2 linked regions of the Arabidopsis thaliana genome follow. The protein of the gene in region 2 interacts with the protein of the main gene of each other region in a pairwise test. Each region holds a gene or a part of one and is shown on either strand. Other genes may lie near its edges.

Region 1 (7,291 bases), on a different chromosome or scaffold from region 2:
ATATCTCGATCCGCTGTCAGTTTTCTCTCTTATGTCTGCCATATTTGCCAAACATGGAATCTTTTTTTAGTGATTGTATGCTCCGTTTTGCAGATGCTTTGAGACAAATGGGCTAAACGAGAAGAGTGACATTTACAGCTTTGGAGTTGTTCTGTTGGAGATGATTACAGGCAAAACCGTGATCAAAGAGTCACAAACGAAACGTGTTCATGTGAGTGATTGGGTGATATCGATCTTGAGGTCTACGAATGATGTGAACAATGTTATAGATTCAAAGATGGCGAAAGATTTTGATGTAAACTCTGTATGGAAAGTTGTGGAGCTTGCATTATCCTCTGTTTCGCAGAACGTCTCTGATAGGCCAAACATGCCACATATTGTTAGAGGATTGAATGAGTGTCTTCAAAGAGAAGAGAGTAACAAGAACTATTGATGTCACAACGCAAAGGGTGTAGAATAAGTCAAGGGGTTGGAAACAGAAAGATGTTGAAAACTTGGGAGTGTTTATATATTTAAATTTTTGAAAGGCTTTTTAAAGTTTGTGTTGCTAATGCTATATCTAAAAGCCCAAAGTAATAATGTAATGGAATAGAAAAGAATCCATAATAAATAGGAAAAAACAAAGAAAAAGTACCTAATCCGGTAGCCACAAGGAAAAAAGAGGACAAGAAGATGGTGACAACAAGACAAAGACCGAAGCCGCGTAGGACCCCAAACGTACCTTTTAAATAAAACGCTGATTCCTTTCGGACTTTTGCGTCGCACGGTCTGTGCCGCTGTCCCCACAAATCTCTATTTTTTACACACGCAATCTCTACCTCTGCGTCTGCGTTTCGAAACGTGACTCTTCTAACCGCTCCACGTGAGTGACTTTTAGAGCGAGTTTGGTGTCCGAAACCACGCGTGCGCGTCTCCTCAACGCCTGAGTCTCTCTATGAAGTTGCATTGACGTCAGAAAAATTAAATTTGTCTTACTTGAAACATAAAAATTTACAGTAGTAAATTATCATTTTCATAACACTTCATTTATTCTCTTGTAGTTAAACAACGGATATACTAATGAAATGAACTCGTTCAATCTAATTAAAATCTCATTATTAATGGTAGACGCTAGAGAATCTCATTATTGTAGGTGTTAATTTATGAAAATAATACATCACTTTCAATCACTGATTTGATTAGATTGATGGATTTTATATACAGCCCATGTTTTTAACCTCTCTAGTTGAAATTTTGGTTGATTTTAAAGAGAAGAGAACAAAAATTCAAAGACGAAAAAAGCAAAAAGTGGAAAGTAGAAACAAAAAGACTGATGGTGCAGAGAGCTGGTCAAATATGTTGACAAAATAAAATAACCTTACAATGTCACTATCATCAATAAATGAAAAAATAGTTCTCTCTATCTATCTATAATAATAATAATAAAAGCAACTTCTACCTGGGACTGATATTAACTACGAAGACCTCTCACTCTCTCAATGGGTTGTATAATAGCTGTCAAATTATGATGTATTTAGTCACAAGACAAAAGACTGATTCTGAACACTAAAGCCTAATTAGGGATTAGTCTTTACTCTTTAGTCATCTGTTTCATCTTTATTATTAAAGTTTGCAGGAGTTGTAGTAGATGGTGTGGGGGCAATATATGCAGAACATGCATGCTTCCAAAATGTCCTAACTACGTCACTTAAGGTTCCATTTTTTTCTATCTAAACTAAGAAATACTTATGTATCTATTAATCTACATCTAATTGGTTGTCAAAAAAAAATGTATCATAGAAGTCTTTGGAGCACATAAATAAAACATCTGGAGATTTTCTGAACATAATGTGAGGTCAAGAATTTGTGTGCAAAATTACAATTTTCAGGCATGAGTGGCTCTGATTTTGACCATTTGAATAAATTTGTAGCTTGTTATAACCTTTACACTCGTAAGGAAAAAATTATCAAAAAATATTGATAGTCGATAAAATTGAAAACTCTAGATTTATACAAATCAATAAATAAATTTGAAAATAATTAAATGAGAAGTAAATGACATTACTTCACCCAAAAAGAGTCTAGACGAAAAAGACAGACATAAAAATAAGTCCCCTTCTATTTGTTTGGAGCATAAACAAAAACAGACACAGTTTCTTCTCTCTCTCTCTCTGTCTCTTTCCTTTTCTCACGCCGAGATTTCTGCGACTGCTCTAATCTTACGACCTTATAAGAAACGACGCTTATTTTCACTCTGCTTGAGCTCTTCATCGTGTCACACAGCACGATCTTGGACGTCGTTTTAAGCGCAAAACAAAGGAAAAAGACTGACGTTTATACATACTAAATACTGGTTTGGAGTTTTGCCTTTTGGACTCAGAAAACTCAAAAGAGAGAGAGAGACATTTCTGTATCTTATCGGGTTTTGTGTTGTCAGAAAGAAGCTCAAGGACAAAAAAAAAAGCAATTATTTTTAGGGTTCAAACGAAGCAAAATTTGGAACTTTCAGAAGTTGTGGGTGGTGGCTTCTTGAACAATAAAGCTTTTTCTTAGACTCTTCTTCCAATTTGTGACTCTACCTATCTCTCTCTCCGTAAGCTCTTTCTCTCTCTCTTTATTCGTTCTTTCTTTATTTGCTCTGTTTCTTTACTCCATTTTTGGCTTAATTACACCAAATTTAGTCTGCTAAAAGCTAATTTCAAGCATAATTACTTATCTCTCCTCTTCTTGTTGCTAACCTTCAGTTGGATTAGGTTTTGATTTCGTTTATACGACAATCCCCGTGACTGAAAAAGTTACCAACTTTGATAGATATCGTTACCAGATTCTACTCATAGTTTTGTTATTGTAATGCAAGAAGTTGAGTTCTTGTTTACATTAACTTCAATAATTCACTGAGAGTGACTTTTTGTTCTCCTCTGATCCGTGGAGGATTCTCTATATGTGTTTTGTTTTTTGGGGGGGTTTTCTCCTGTTTTTAGGGACTCTATTGATTCATGCATATATGATGTTATTCTCTGTTTATGAGTTTATGCAAATAATCTAAGCAAGGTATGATAACATATTTAATCTTTTTGTTTGAGCTTATAATTGTGCTTAGAAATCTTAAAATAATGCTTAAGCTGATGTGAACTTGAGGCCTAGCCTCTGACCACAAATCCTAGCCTACTTCGTTGACCATACCTTTGTCTTGGCTTAATATTCTAAATTTCTCTTCCAAATCCTGTCTCCCAATGCATTGGTTGGTCCAAAACAAGATCATCATTTCATAGATCTTGTAATCTTTCTGGTCTGTAATTTGCTCTAGGATGGTAACCTTGTACCCTATGTAACATGTCTTGTTAGTATAAATTTTGGGTCATGTTGTGTTGATGACTCTTTAGCGCATTTCTTATTGACAAAAGGTATGGAATTCTCTAGAGACGCTGGAATGATGATGGAGAATAAGCGGAATGTCTGCTCTCTCGGAGAAAGCAGTATCAAACGCCACAAGTCTGATCTCTCTTTCAGTTCCAAGGTTTTGCTTATCCTAGCTAGTTTTCATGGATTTCTCGGTCGAAATAGTCTTCGGTACAACAAATTGCATGGTAATGATCCGTCCATCTTTGTTCTCTTAATGGCAAACAGGAGAGGAAGGACAAGGTTGGAGAACGTATTTCAGCTCTTCAACAAATAGTTTCCCCTTATGGAAAGGTAACTTTGTTTTTTTTGGCAAGCAAATCAAAAGAATCTGTCTCTCAGCTCATACTTTTCTCTAATGTTCACAGACCGACACTGCATCAGTTCTTCTAGACGCGATGCATTACATAGAGTTTCTTCACGAACAAGTGAAGGTCTGCAGTTCAATACCAAGCATGATTCATTCATCTTTATCTGAGTTCCCATGTTCTTTTGTACAGGTGCTAAGTGCTCCGTATCTGCAAACGGTACCTGATGCTACGCAGGTGAGTATGATCTTGAATCTCAACTTCATTTATACTTAGTTCACTAGTTCTACTCTGCATCTGACAGATCTTCACTTGGAACTTGAATACCTTGCACGGACTGATTTTCCCGTCTTTTGTAACCAGGAGGAGCTGGAGCAGTACAGCCTGAGAAACAGAGGATTATGTCTTGTTCCAATGGAGAATACAGTTGGAGTTGCTCAAAGCAACGGCGCTGATATATGGGCGCCCGTGAAGACTCCTCTATCACCAGCTTTCAGTGTCACATCTCAATCACCCTTTAGATGACCAATTCGACTAATCACCTACTACGATCTTTGTGTTAAGCCTAAAAAAGAATGACCAATTGTTATTTTTCTGATGATGCCTCTGTAACATATATAGACAGAGAGCACATGATGTTGGTTTAGAACAGCTCATGGTTGGCAATGATTGTTATTATTATTCGACTGCTTAATGCATCCCCTTACTTTGGACTTGTGTAATATGCCCAAACAGGAACCAAATGATTTTAATGCAAAGTAATCTTTATCCCAAAAAATGCCTCAGATATCTTAAGCTTTTCTTTGTGTGATTCTTACCTACAGCATCCAATACATTATTCTAGATCTAAAGACCCAAGGCAAGCTTTCTTTCAGTGCTGAAGGTATGATCGTGGATTTCCCTAATACATATAGCTTTCTTTCAGTGCTTGTAATAGTGCCAAACTGCTGACCACAGAATTAAGATTATCCTTTCATAAGAACATTGGATTAAATACATTACCACTGAGAATTGCAAAGGTTCAGAACATACAGACTGTTGATACCAAGGGACCAAATAGCTTGGACAAAGATAAGATAAGTCGGTCATAATGTGTTTTTAACTACTAGATTGCAATGCTTTGGCATATGTAAATGTGACAGGGAGGATCATCCTCTTCAGCTCTACATGGGATAAAACTAACTTGCTGCAGTAGGCTTGACCTTCTCTCGCATATACTGCAGTAGATGTTCGCGTTTCCAGTTGTCGATTCTGCAAAACAAGCAAATCAAGAAACAAAGAGGTCAGCTACAACCTTGGAGGAATGAAGTTGTGTTGCTGATAGAGGATGAGGTGTTAAAGACATCACTTATTCATGCTCACAACGAGAAAATCCTTTCAAAAACCAATTTAAACTAGAGGTCTAAGTAAATGATACAGCAGAATGTAACAGAGCAACGAGAGAGTGAGAATAGAAACTGCTGCAGATCCATGGATAGTTATATTTTTATCTACCAAGCTAACATGGATATATCAGGTCACCTTGAACGTCTTAAATCAGGTCAACTCGTTCCCCCACCCAAACTCTAATACTAAAGATTCTAGCAAGGAGTTGAGCAAAGGGGGTTATAAAGCAACTTACCTAATTGATTCCTTATGTTCACCGTCTTCGTCGAGCATGATCAACTTGGGTGGTGAGTTGAAAATGTACTGAACTTTGACGCTAGGGAACTTTTCTTTCTCTTCTTCAATGAAACCAACAATTTCAGGATAGAAAACCAACTTCCTCATACACACCTCTAATATAGCGCCAGAATAGGTAACCTGCAATGGCAAAAAAATGTAAACTTCTCTTCATTCATATCCATGTTATAGGAGATGTTTCTGTATTCATCTAATCTATTCCCATTAAAATTCAAAAGCACTACAAATTACATGCCTAGTGATCGTACCTTGCTCATGGAATCCTCAGAATCATCAGCACAACATTTCAAGCAATCAGATACCAACTCTGCAAACAAGATCAATCAATATAAGATAACCAATTTAGTAATTCCACTCCTCAAAACCAACTTTAGAGAGAATGATCTAGCTCATAAAATACACAAAAACTAAAATATAGAATCTTTTGGGGGAAAAAAAGCAAAACTGCAGTAATTGAGATCAAATAAAGCACGCATAGAAAGGCACGAACCTTGGTCCTTAACGTATTCAGAGAGTGAGTGGCAATCGGAGCAGAGTGCAAGACCGCTAAACCCTAGATCCTCACATTCTTTAGTGCTGAGCTGCTCTTTTGCTGAGATCGTCGATGCCAATATCAAAATCATCATCGCTGATAAAACAACCATCTTCGCCATCTCTCTCTGTTTCATCAACAGATCAAAGTCTTCGCAGATCCGACGCTACTCTAACTAATGTCGCTGCCTTGCTATGATCCGATCCGGTCAATTCCGGTTTTTTAAGTATCCGAAAAAGCAATCTTGGTATAGAGGAAACCATCTCCGGTTATAAATAAAAAAGTCTTAACCGACGTGAAAAGTGTTAAAACCCCAATTCACATTAGCCTGTTGCGATCTAAAACCTCTAAAACCCTAGAATCAAAATCGCCCATTCGAGATCGAGAGAGACGATGGATCACATAGCGGCAGCGGAGGAGCAAATTGTAACGGAGAGGATTAGAAGAAAACTTGAAGAAGTTAATGCAACTGCTCAATCGCAACTCTCTCCTATTCAAGATCACATCAATTTCACCCTTCAGGTATATTAACAATCATATACCTTTTTGTAGCATTCCTGATCCTCCTACTCATAGGTGTATGTTATTTGTGTGCTCGTGTTGATTTTGATTCGGGTGACCAATTTACCAATTCTGAAAAAGCCGAAATTTTCCTTCAACTTGTAATCGCAACAAAAGAGAAAAACTTGTCCTTTTGTTCCATATATTGTCCAATTCAAGGCATTAATCTGTTCTAGTTAAGTTCACTTGTGGACTTGTGGTATATCTCTTTTATAATGGGTTTTAACTAAGTTTTCTGAGCTAATTTTTGCTGCCCTTTGATACAATCTGTCTAGTTAATAACATGAAAGTTTGTAGTCATGTTAAGTTCCTGGAAGCTGTGTCTTGTTGTAGTCATGTTAAGTAGTTCCTGGAAACTTAAACTTGACAGTTTTCATTATATCTCTACAGCTATATTAGTATAACTCAAGTTGTATGAAAGCGTATTGTTTTCATATTTATTTGTTAAGTTGATGAATCAAACCCGGAAAATTGATCAATTGCAGCAAGCCTATTTCAAATGTGCATACGAGTGCTTTGACAGAAATAGGAAGCAAGAGGAGATAGCCAACTGTGTTGAGCACTGCAGTGTTCCAGTTGTCAATGCTCAACAGCATTTCGAAGGCGAAATGTCTCAGTTTCAGGTATAATATAATTTCAACTCACAAAAAATGCATAATTTTACAATGGACTGAGAAACTTGCAATTGTAATTATGATGCAGGAAAGGATGAACAGATCTCTCATGGTCTGTCAAGACAAATTTGAGGCTGCAAAGCTCCATAAGAACAGGGGAGATGCCGCCAAAGCTATGGAGAGTTGTGTGAACACATCCATTGAGGATAGTCTCG
Region 2 (9,012 bases):
TTGATCCTACTTACAATCTCCAGCTTGCTCAGCCTAATCTTCAAAACGATCCAACGGCCCAGAATGATTAATACAATTCTCAATAGATATCTACTCTTTCTTTATGGAGACAGATTCATGAACTTTTATTACCTATATTTTGATAAGCCAGTGTCTTCTTTTGTGTGGCTATGGAAACCTTGTTTAAAGCACAATGCACTTGAGTTCTTGGTTATATAATTAATCATCATTATTACATATTTTCCAACTAAAGATCATCTGTTTATGTAATGAAACACCCTTGTTCTCCAAGTTATGTTTGTGAAAAAAAAAAGCTGTTGCTTTGATGTTTTGAAGTGAAGATTGGCCATTACCTGGAGACAGAGTGCAAGAGATAAGCAAAACTATTCTTAGACTATTAGCCGCAAGAAATACAAAAAATCCGGCAAATGTCTTATAGACTATTAGCCGCAAAAAAATAAAAAATAAAAAATCCCGGAAATGTCTTATAGATTACAAGCCGCAAAACTATTCTTAGATTATTAGCTGCCAAAAAAAAACATGAGGATCTTTGTAATGTCTGGTGGATTCAGACAGAGTGGATCATAATCCCGAAAAAAGCTCTTATAAAAAACTAAGCCATGATTGAAAACATTCCAATAACTTTTACAGAGGACTGCAAGAACGATCAAGAAGCAAGAAAGACGTTTCAGAAGAACAAACGTCTTCTTCTTGTTCTTCTTCTTCCTCCTCTTCTTTTTTTTGTTTTCATTACGACGAGAAAATTTGAGTTCGTGATCGCTTGAACAACCATCATCATCATCTAGAGCCCCAAAAAAGAAGAAGCTGCGGGCCGGTTATTTTGGTTAATTAGTCTAAATCCATGGCAGGAGGGGCATTTATAGACGAGAGTGGCCATGGAGGAGACTACGAAGGTCGTGTAACCGCGTTTGTCATGATAACCTGCATTGTAGCTGCAATGGGTGGTCTCCTCTTTGGTTACGACATTGGTATCTCAGGTTTGTTTCTTGCCAGCCAAGTAAACCAAAATTCTTCTCTCTGCTTCTTTCTTTGTTTTCATGGCGGACATATTATATGTTTTCAGGAGGAGTGATATCAATGGAGGACTTTCTAACGAAATTCTTCCCTGACGTGCTTCGTCAAATGCAAAACAAAAGAGGGCGTGAAACAGAATATTGTAAATATGACAATGAGCTTCTTACTCTCTTCACTTCCTCTCTTTACCTCGCTGCTTTGTTCGCTTCTTTCCTTGCCTCCACCATTACAAGGCTTTTTGGCCGGAAGGTCTCAATGGTTATCGGGTCTCTCGCTTTTCTCTCTGGAGCTCTTCTCAACGGTTTAGCTATCAACCTCGAGATGTTGATCATCGGGCGGTTATTTCTCGGTGTAGGTGTCGGATTCGCTAACCAATCTGTTCCTCTTTACCTCTCTGAGATGGCTCCTGCTAAGATCAGAGGAGCTCTCAACATTGGTTTTCAATTAGCAATCACGATCGGGATCTTAGCCGCGAACATTGTCAATTACGTGACCCCAAAGCTCCAGAACGGGATCGGATGGAGATTATCTCTCGGTTTAGCTGGAGTTCCGGCCGTTATGATGCTTGTCGGATGCTTTTTCTTGCCAGATACGCCAAACTCAATCCTTGAACGTGGAAACAAAGAAAAGGCTAAGGAGATGCTGCAGAAGATCAGAGGAACCATGGAGGTTGAGCATGAGTTTAATGAACTTTGCAACGCGTGTGAAGCCGCGAAGAAAGTTAAGCATCCATGGACGAACATAATGCAAGCTCGTTATCGACCGCAGCTCACGTTTTGTACCTTCATCCCATTCTTCCAGCAGCTAACCGGGATCAATGTCATTATGTTCTATGCACCTGTTCTGTTTAAGACCATCGGTTTTGGAAATGACGCCTCTCTCATATCCGCAGTTATCACCGGTCTTGTCAATGTCCTTTCCACCATTGTCTCCATCTACTCCGTTGACAAATTCGGACGAAGAGCTTTGTTTCTTCAAGGTGGTTTTCAGATGATCGTGACCCAGGTGCGTACAAACCCTAAAACAATGAAAATACTCTGTTTTTCAAAACAGAGTATCTTGCTCTGCTTTCTAAAACCGAGGTAGGTAACAATGATTTGTTTTGCTTTGGCTTCAGATCGCGGTCGGGTCGATGATCGGATGGAAATTTGGATTCAACGGGGAAGGAAATTTGTCAGGGGTTGATGCGGATATAATCTTGGCACTGATATGTCTCTATGTGGCGGGTTTCGCGTGGTCATGGGGACCGTTGGGATGGTTAGTGCCGAGTGAGATATGTCCATTGGAAATTAGATCAGCAGGACAATCGTTAAACGTTTCGGTGAACATGTTCTTTACATTCTTCATTGGACAATTCTTCTTGACGATGCTTTGCCATATGAAGTTTGGTTTGTTCTATTTCTTCGCGGGTATGGTCTTGATCATGACCATTTTCATTTACTTCTTGTTGCCGGAGACAAAAGGTGTTCCGATTGAGGAGATGGGGAAAGTGTGGAAAGAGCATAGATATTGGGGGAAATATAGTAATAATGATGATGGTGATGATGTTGATGATGATGCTTATTTTTAGTTGATGATTATTTGGGATTTAAGGATATGTTAGGATTAAAAACTTATTATTGAGAAAATGCTTATACTGACCAATGTGAGAAAATAAAAATGAGGATATAATAAACAAGTGTACATAATTTGAGGATTTATGACCGTACTTAAAATTACTCGAAACTTCTTGAACTAAAAATAATATAAATTTTTTGTTTAGACTAAAATGATCATTTTTTACGATAAAGATACATGTCGAGTAATTATTAAGAGTATCCAAATTATCCGTTTGAATTGTTAAAATATTTAAAATTATTATAATTTTCCGGCTACTAAAAATTCTCTAACACTTCACAAGATTATTAAAAAAAACTCTCTCTCTCTATTTGTACTTAAAATAACCCAAATTTGACCCATTCTCATTTGGATAGCGATTTTTAAATTATTGAATTTATCTACCATATCATATCTTATCAGTTGTTTCCAAAACTTAGAAGTGAAATTAAATTGGTTATTTATTTTTGTTTGTAACATAACTAAATCAACCATCAAGTCAATCTCGAACAAACAATTGTTATCATCCATTATCCAATATTAATTACTTTTTTGTTTTGTTTTGTTACAAGTGAATACTATTCACATGATTTATAAATTAGTATTATTATTCACTCCACAACATTTTGTATCAGATTAGGTTTCAAGTTTATAGTTACACAAAAAATGGATTCCGAAATCTTTTAGATTAAAAAAAAAAAGGATCAAAAGTTCAAGGTACACAATCTTTTTATAAAACTGCCGACATGATGCCATATCGCTCATGATTGCATTTATTTTTTTGCATTAGCTCACAAGAATGTTAAAAATTAACGATAAGAAAATCCATTTAATTAGGGGGTACGAGTACGAAAATAATTAAAACAAATATTAGCGTTTGGTGGTGCATAACTCAGCATAAGTCATAAAATAAATTGTTGTCACGATATGTGAAGAAAATCTCGTTGCGATGAGACGAACGACATAAAGAAAATCTTGCGTATCTGACAAGTGGACTAATCCACTTATTTTCAATGTCAGTCTCAAAATGGGAGTTATTAAAATTAATGTTCGTTCTTTTTATTTTATACACACATTTATTTTATATATATATTTATATTATATACAGTAAAACCTCTATAAATTAATAACATTAAAACCATAATATTTTTAATTTATAGTACTATTAATTTAAATGTCTTTGGGTATTTTAGTTGGCAAAACTCAACTAATTACAGGTAACTTTCTTTTGTGATGTCGACAAAAGAATTCTGAATAATTTTTAAGGGTTTCGATTTTTGCCATTTCACGTAAAACACGTGATACTGGGCTACTGGCATTTACGGCAGAGTAACTGGTGGCAAATATTATTACCAATATACTATAAACAAATAAATAAAAAGAACAAACACTAGTATTAAATTTTGATTGTTTTATAACTCAATTAAGTTTTGATGTCAAAGTCTACTTACCAATCAATTACCTCACTGATTTGTCTCCTTTTCAATCTTTTCGATTGTTTTATGGAAACAGCTTTCTAAAAAAGATTAATTTTCACGTAATCACAAAACAAATGTTCACATTAGCCCAAATCTAATAACCACATTAGGTTGGTCCCAAAAATTTAAAAACAAAAAAAAACTTTTTTAGACAGAGAGACCAACTTCAATACATTTAGTTTCATGTATTTTAAATAAGATTAGTATCTTCGTGTTAATTTCCAAATTCAAGCTTATAGTAAGTTAGTAATAATGTATATAATGACGTGGCAAAGGATAAATGTCTCTTTAAATGCACGTAGCAGCCGGAGGAGTGACCCACCTACCTAGTGTTAAATTCTCCTGCCGGAGTTTGGTCCCCACGCGACCTTCTTCTTCACCGGAGTAATAACGCGCGTGAGCTCCACCGCGTCGGGACAAAACTAATGTCCTCTCAAAAAAGCAAAAAAAAAAAGAGAAAAAAAACCAGAGATGGTGAGCTGTGTGAAAAGGACCCCACCACACCCATGTGCTTCTCCTTCCTGTCTCCACCAGCTCCCTCCTTCTCAATCATTAGCTTCTTCTCTTCTCTTCTCTCACAGAGAGAGTAATCACAAGCCAAGTGAGAAAAAGAAAACACTAAACCCAGATCGAAAACCATGTCTATTAACAACAACAACAACAACAACAACAATAACAACGATGGTCTTATGATCTCATCAAACGGAGCTTTAATCGAACAACAACCATCAGTCGTTGTGAAGAAACCACCGGCGAAAGATCGACATAGCAAAGTCGATGGAAGAGGGAGAAGAATCCGTATGCCGATTATATGTGCTGCTCGTGTTTTTCAGCTAACGAGAGAGCTTGGTCATAAGTCAGATGGCCAAACAATTGAATGGTTACTTCGTCAAGCAGAGCCTTCTATTATAGCTGCAACAGGAACTGGTACAACTCCAGCGAGTTTCTCAACTGCTTCTGTCTCTATCCGTGGAGCCACCAATTCTACTTCTTTAGATCATAAACCCACTTCTTTACTTGGTGGTACGTCACCGTTTATACTTGGGAAACGTGTTAGAGCTGATGAGGATAGTAATAATAGTCATAATCATAGTTCTGTTGGTAAAGATGAGACCTTTACGACAACACCAGCTGGGTTTTGGGCTGTTCCGGCGAGGCCGGATTTTGGACAAGTTTGGAGTTTTGCTGGAGCTCCACAAGAGATGTTTTTACAACAACAACATCATCATCAGCAACCATTGTTTGTTCATCAGCAACAGCAACAACAAGCTGCAATGGGTGAAGCTTCTGCTGCTAGAGTTGGGAATTATCTTCCGGGTCATCTTAATTTGCTTGCTTCTTTATCCGGTGGATCTCCCGGGTCGGATCGAAGAGAGGAAGATCCACGTTAATGGTTTAAGCCCTTTTAGGTTTGAGGGCAAAATTTGGTATATATATTTATTATCTTCTCTTCTCTATTGTTGTCATTGTTTCTCTATGTGTGTGTTTTAGTGTTGTTAGAGATTGATTTGGTTTCAGAATCTCTGCAAGTGATTTGAGAGTTTTCGTTAGCTTTAAGTAAGTTAAAGACGGTTGTTTTTGATTAGGGTTAAATTAGGGTTTAAGAATCTGTTGTTTTTTTGGAGGGAGATCGATTTCTTATCGGATCCAAGATTACTTTTAGGAAAAAAGGGAAAATTTCAGAAACCACGGTGGTTTCTTTTCCTCTTTTTTTTTTTGTGTCTGTTTTTTTTTTCCGGTGAAACAGAGCCGTCGATTAAAATTTCAGATATATATTTAAATGTTTTAATATGGTTTGTTGTTGTTGTTGCTAATTGTGTAATGTGTTACAACAATTGTGGTGAAGCATTTGCGTAAGCTGTTAACCACGTTTATTTCTAATAAATGTTTCGAATTCATATTGTTCCTTCCTTCTCTGCATTTATTGATACACAAAAAGCTTTATGTGATAGTGATTGTTTCGTTGAAATCGAACCGGATGATGGATTTTTGAACAGAATCATAATAATCTCTTATTTTTTTAGTGGATATATGTATGAATTGTGGATTTTGAGATGCTATTTATTTTTGGCGTTTCGCGTCTTGATTTAATGCAAGAACTGAACAGAGGATTTAGTAAGAAAAAGAGACAAACCAGTTGTGTCTGAATTCTTCAATTTTGTTGCCTTTTTGTTTCATATGAATCTTTGTACTGTGCTTTTGGAAGTTTGGTTTGTCACGTTAGTCAGAGAAATATTAAATTTAAGTACTGTTAAAACTATATGGCGACATGATATCTTTAAATTAATTGTCTATATTTTTGTTCTAGAAACTGTTACAATTTGAAAGATTAAAGGTGTTAGAATTGTCTCTTCTCTTGTTTGAGATTAGCTATCTAAAAAAATGTGGGTGATACACTCGAACATGAGTTCAAATGGTTGTTTTAATTTTGGCAAAAACCATTTTCACTGTTGTAATAATTTGGACTATCAAAAAAGTAAATTTTATTTTAACCCCTGATATAGTATAATTTCTTATGCAAAGTATATTTAAGGTACAAATAGCATAGATTCAATGATTTCGTTTGTGGTTTTCACAGCTATATATCTGCTGAGTAATGTATTTAACCAATAATTTATTTATCACGATAATACCTGATGAATAAATGTCAAAGTGATTAGATAGGCTTCTTTAGACTATTTAGGTCACACTAACCAATCAAAAGAATCAAACAAATTTTCTCATTAAAATAAGAATCCATTAATGGAAAGATCTTAACAAAAAGTTGGTGTTTTTTCTTTCTTAATTAGGTCTTAGTAATTAACACTTAGCTATATAATGTAATGCAAATAATTATAGGTGGGGGATCTTTGTAATCAACTCGTATCAATAAAACATCCGTACCTTTTATTGTCGAATCATCTAAATGACCCCAACACCAATAATTGATATGGTCCCAATTATTTTCTACCGAAAAATAATTTCTATAGGCTGGCAAATAATTCATATACGAGTCTTTATTTTTCATATACATATTTCGCATTTTGGACCGACACATGTAAATAAATAAATAGCCTCTCATTCACCTCACTCTACTAGCTCTGTGCCGTGTTAAATTAAATGTACTGTCAAATACTTTATGGTTCAGAAAAAATTGATGACTAAACATTATCATAGAGTATCAAAATTTGATTTTCAAAACTGACTATAAAAACAATTTTATAGCAAAAATAAAATAAATTTTAGTTGTTTCTTTTAAACGTTAAAGCATGTTCATTTTTTCCTAGTTGCAGATTCTACAGTGATCAATTTGGGATCTATATTAATTCTATATAAGACCCAAAACATGTAAGAATATTAATTTTATGTGTTATTTGTTTAGTTACAAATGTAAAAATACGCAACTAATTAACTATTTCATTTGGTTACATTTTTTTATAAGTATGACAAAATATAAGCAAATTAAGTATTGTTTGAATTATAAGCAAATATTTTTTTGTTTCAAATTTTTTCAAAATATAGGTAAACTATTAAAAATTGTTTTTTGATTCAATTTTGTTTTAATTTTTATTTGAATCAAAGCATACACTATTTTCTTCTTTAATCATTTAAGGCCTCGAAAATGTTAGAAACAGCTTAAATGGGCCAATATGGGCCTTATGACTTCATCTCTAACGCTGAAGTCTGAACTCCGCTTAACGGGCCATCACACACTTCGTCTCTAACCTTTTGAAGAAAGAGTTTGAGCGCATCGCAAACTCGAAGGCGCGACTGTGAGAGAGAAGAATGGCGTCGTCATCATCGAGAGGAGAGATGGAGAAGATGGGAATCGATCAGCTAAAAGCTTTGAAGGAGCAAGCAGATCTGGAAGTGAATCTTCTTCAAGATAGTCTCAACAACATCCGTACAGCTACCGTTCGTCTCGATGCCGCCGCCGCAGCTCTCAACGATCTCTCTCTTCGACCTCAAGGTTTTGTTTATTTCACCTCTCCTTCTTCAATTTCAGCGATGGATGATTATAAAACAATTTGAAAATTGTAGGTAAGAAGATGCTTGTACCACTGACTGCTTCTCTATACGTGCCTGGGACACTTGATGAAGCTGATAAGGTTTTAGTTGATATTGGCACTGGTTACTTCATTGAGGTAATAGAAAACTTCAATAAGTAATTGGATTATTATGACTTTGTTCTTGTGTAGCTCAAGTGTTTTGCTGCATTTTTATGTAGAAAACAATGGATGATGGAAAAGATTATTGTCAGAGGAAGATCAACTTGCTCAAATCCAACTTTGATCAACTTTTTGAGGTAATATGTATTCGCAATTAGGATCATTTCACTATCTTAGCAACTTTTAAAGGCCTGATTTGGTTTTTAGATAGATTCTGAGTGAAAGGGAATATGTATTCGAATGCCAGTGAGTATGCCTTAGAACTGTACTTTTAGGTATTGAAGGCCTACACTTTTCCTTCATACGGCTTATTGAATATGCCTTAGAACTGTCCTTTTACTGAAGGATAACACATTTCTCATAACATTTACGAAAATTGTGAATGAGCAAAGTGGATAAGATTTTTTGAATTGAATGGAGTCTGATTCTGTTACTAGGGGTGAATCTTTGTGGACTTCTTTCACTGACTTGATCCATTGTATAAAAATGTTTGAGGCCTTAAAGTTTTATGGAATGCAAGTACGTAGTCAGAAAGCCCTTTGGTTGATCCTTTCCTGCATTGTCAAACACTCCCTAGTCCCTAGAGCCATACATGATACACTAAGTAGAGGTCTGAGTATTGTTTTCGTATAAAGCAAAATTCAATGCTATGATCTCACGTTTCCTTTCCATTTGCTTCAATAGTTATTGAAATCAAGTGCATCATTGCCAAATTGTTTCAATACTCTTTTATTTTGAAAACCCTATTGTTACTG

The links.
Region 1: the proteins of AT5G23280 (region 2) and AT1G05710 interact in binary tests that used the Arabidopsis thaliana proteins (3 or more experiments, as listed by UniProt).

Annotation. Positions count from the first base shown.
Region 1 is NC_003070.9:1,712,813-1,720,103, forward strand, and holds AT1G05710 (basic helix-loop-helix (bHLH) DNA-binding superfamily protein), read left to right. Parts: upstream 1-2,005; 5' UTR 2,006-2,572; exon of another isoform or gene 2,573-3,383; 5' UTR 3,384-3,385; coding exon 3,386-3,496; intron 3,497-3,606; coding exon 3,607-3,672; intron 3,673-3,746; coding exon 3,747-3,923; intron 3,924-4,049; coding exon 4,050-4,211; 3' UTR 4,212-4,478; downstream 4,479-7,291. Other genes in the region: AT1G05700 (Leucine-rich repeat transmembrane protein kinase protein), read left to right, coding at 1-15, 94-433; AT1G05720 (selenoprotein family protein), read right to left, coding at 4,865-4,937, 5,308-5,489, 5,618-5,676, 5,860-6,037; AT1G05730 (FAM136A-like protein (DUF842)), read left to right, coding at 6,295-6,423, 6,948-7,085, 7,165-7,291.
Region 2 is NC_003076.8:7,838,270-7,847,281, forward strand, and holds AT5G23280 (TCP family transcription factor), read left to right. Parts: upstream 1-4,337; 5' UTR 4,338-4,747; coding exon 4,748-5,500; 3' UTR 5,501-6,380; downstream 6,381-9,012. Other genes in the region: TT16 (K-box region and MADS-box transcription factor family protein), read left to right, coding at 1-71; STP11 (sugar transporter 11), read left to right, coding at 863-998, 1,085-2,040, 2,153-2,605; PFD5 (prefoldin 5), read left to right, coding at 7,875-8,058, 8,130-8,233, 8,317-8,394.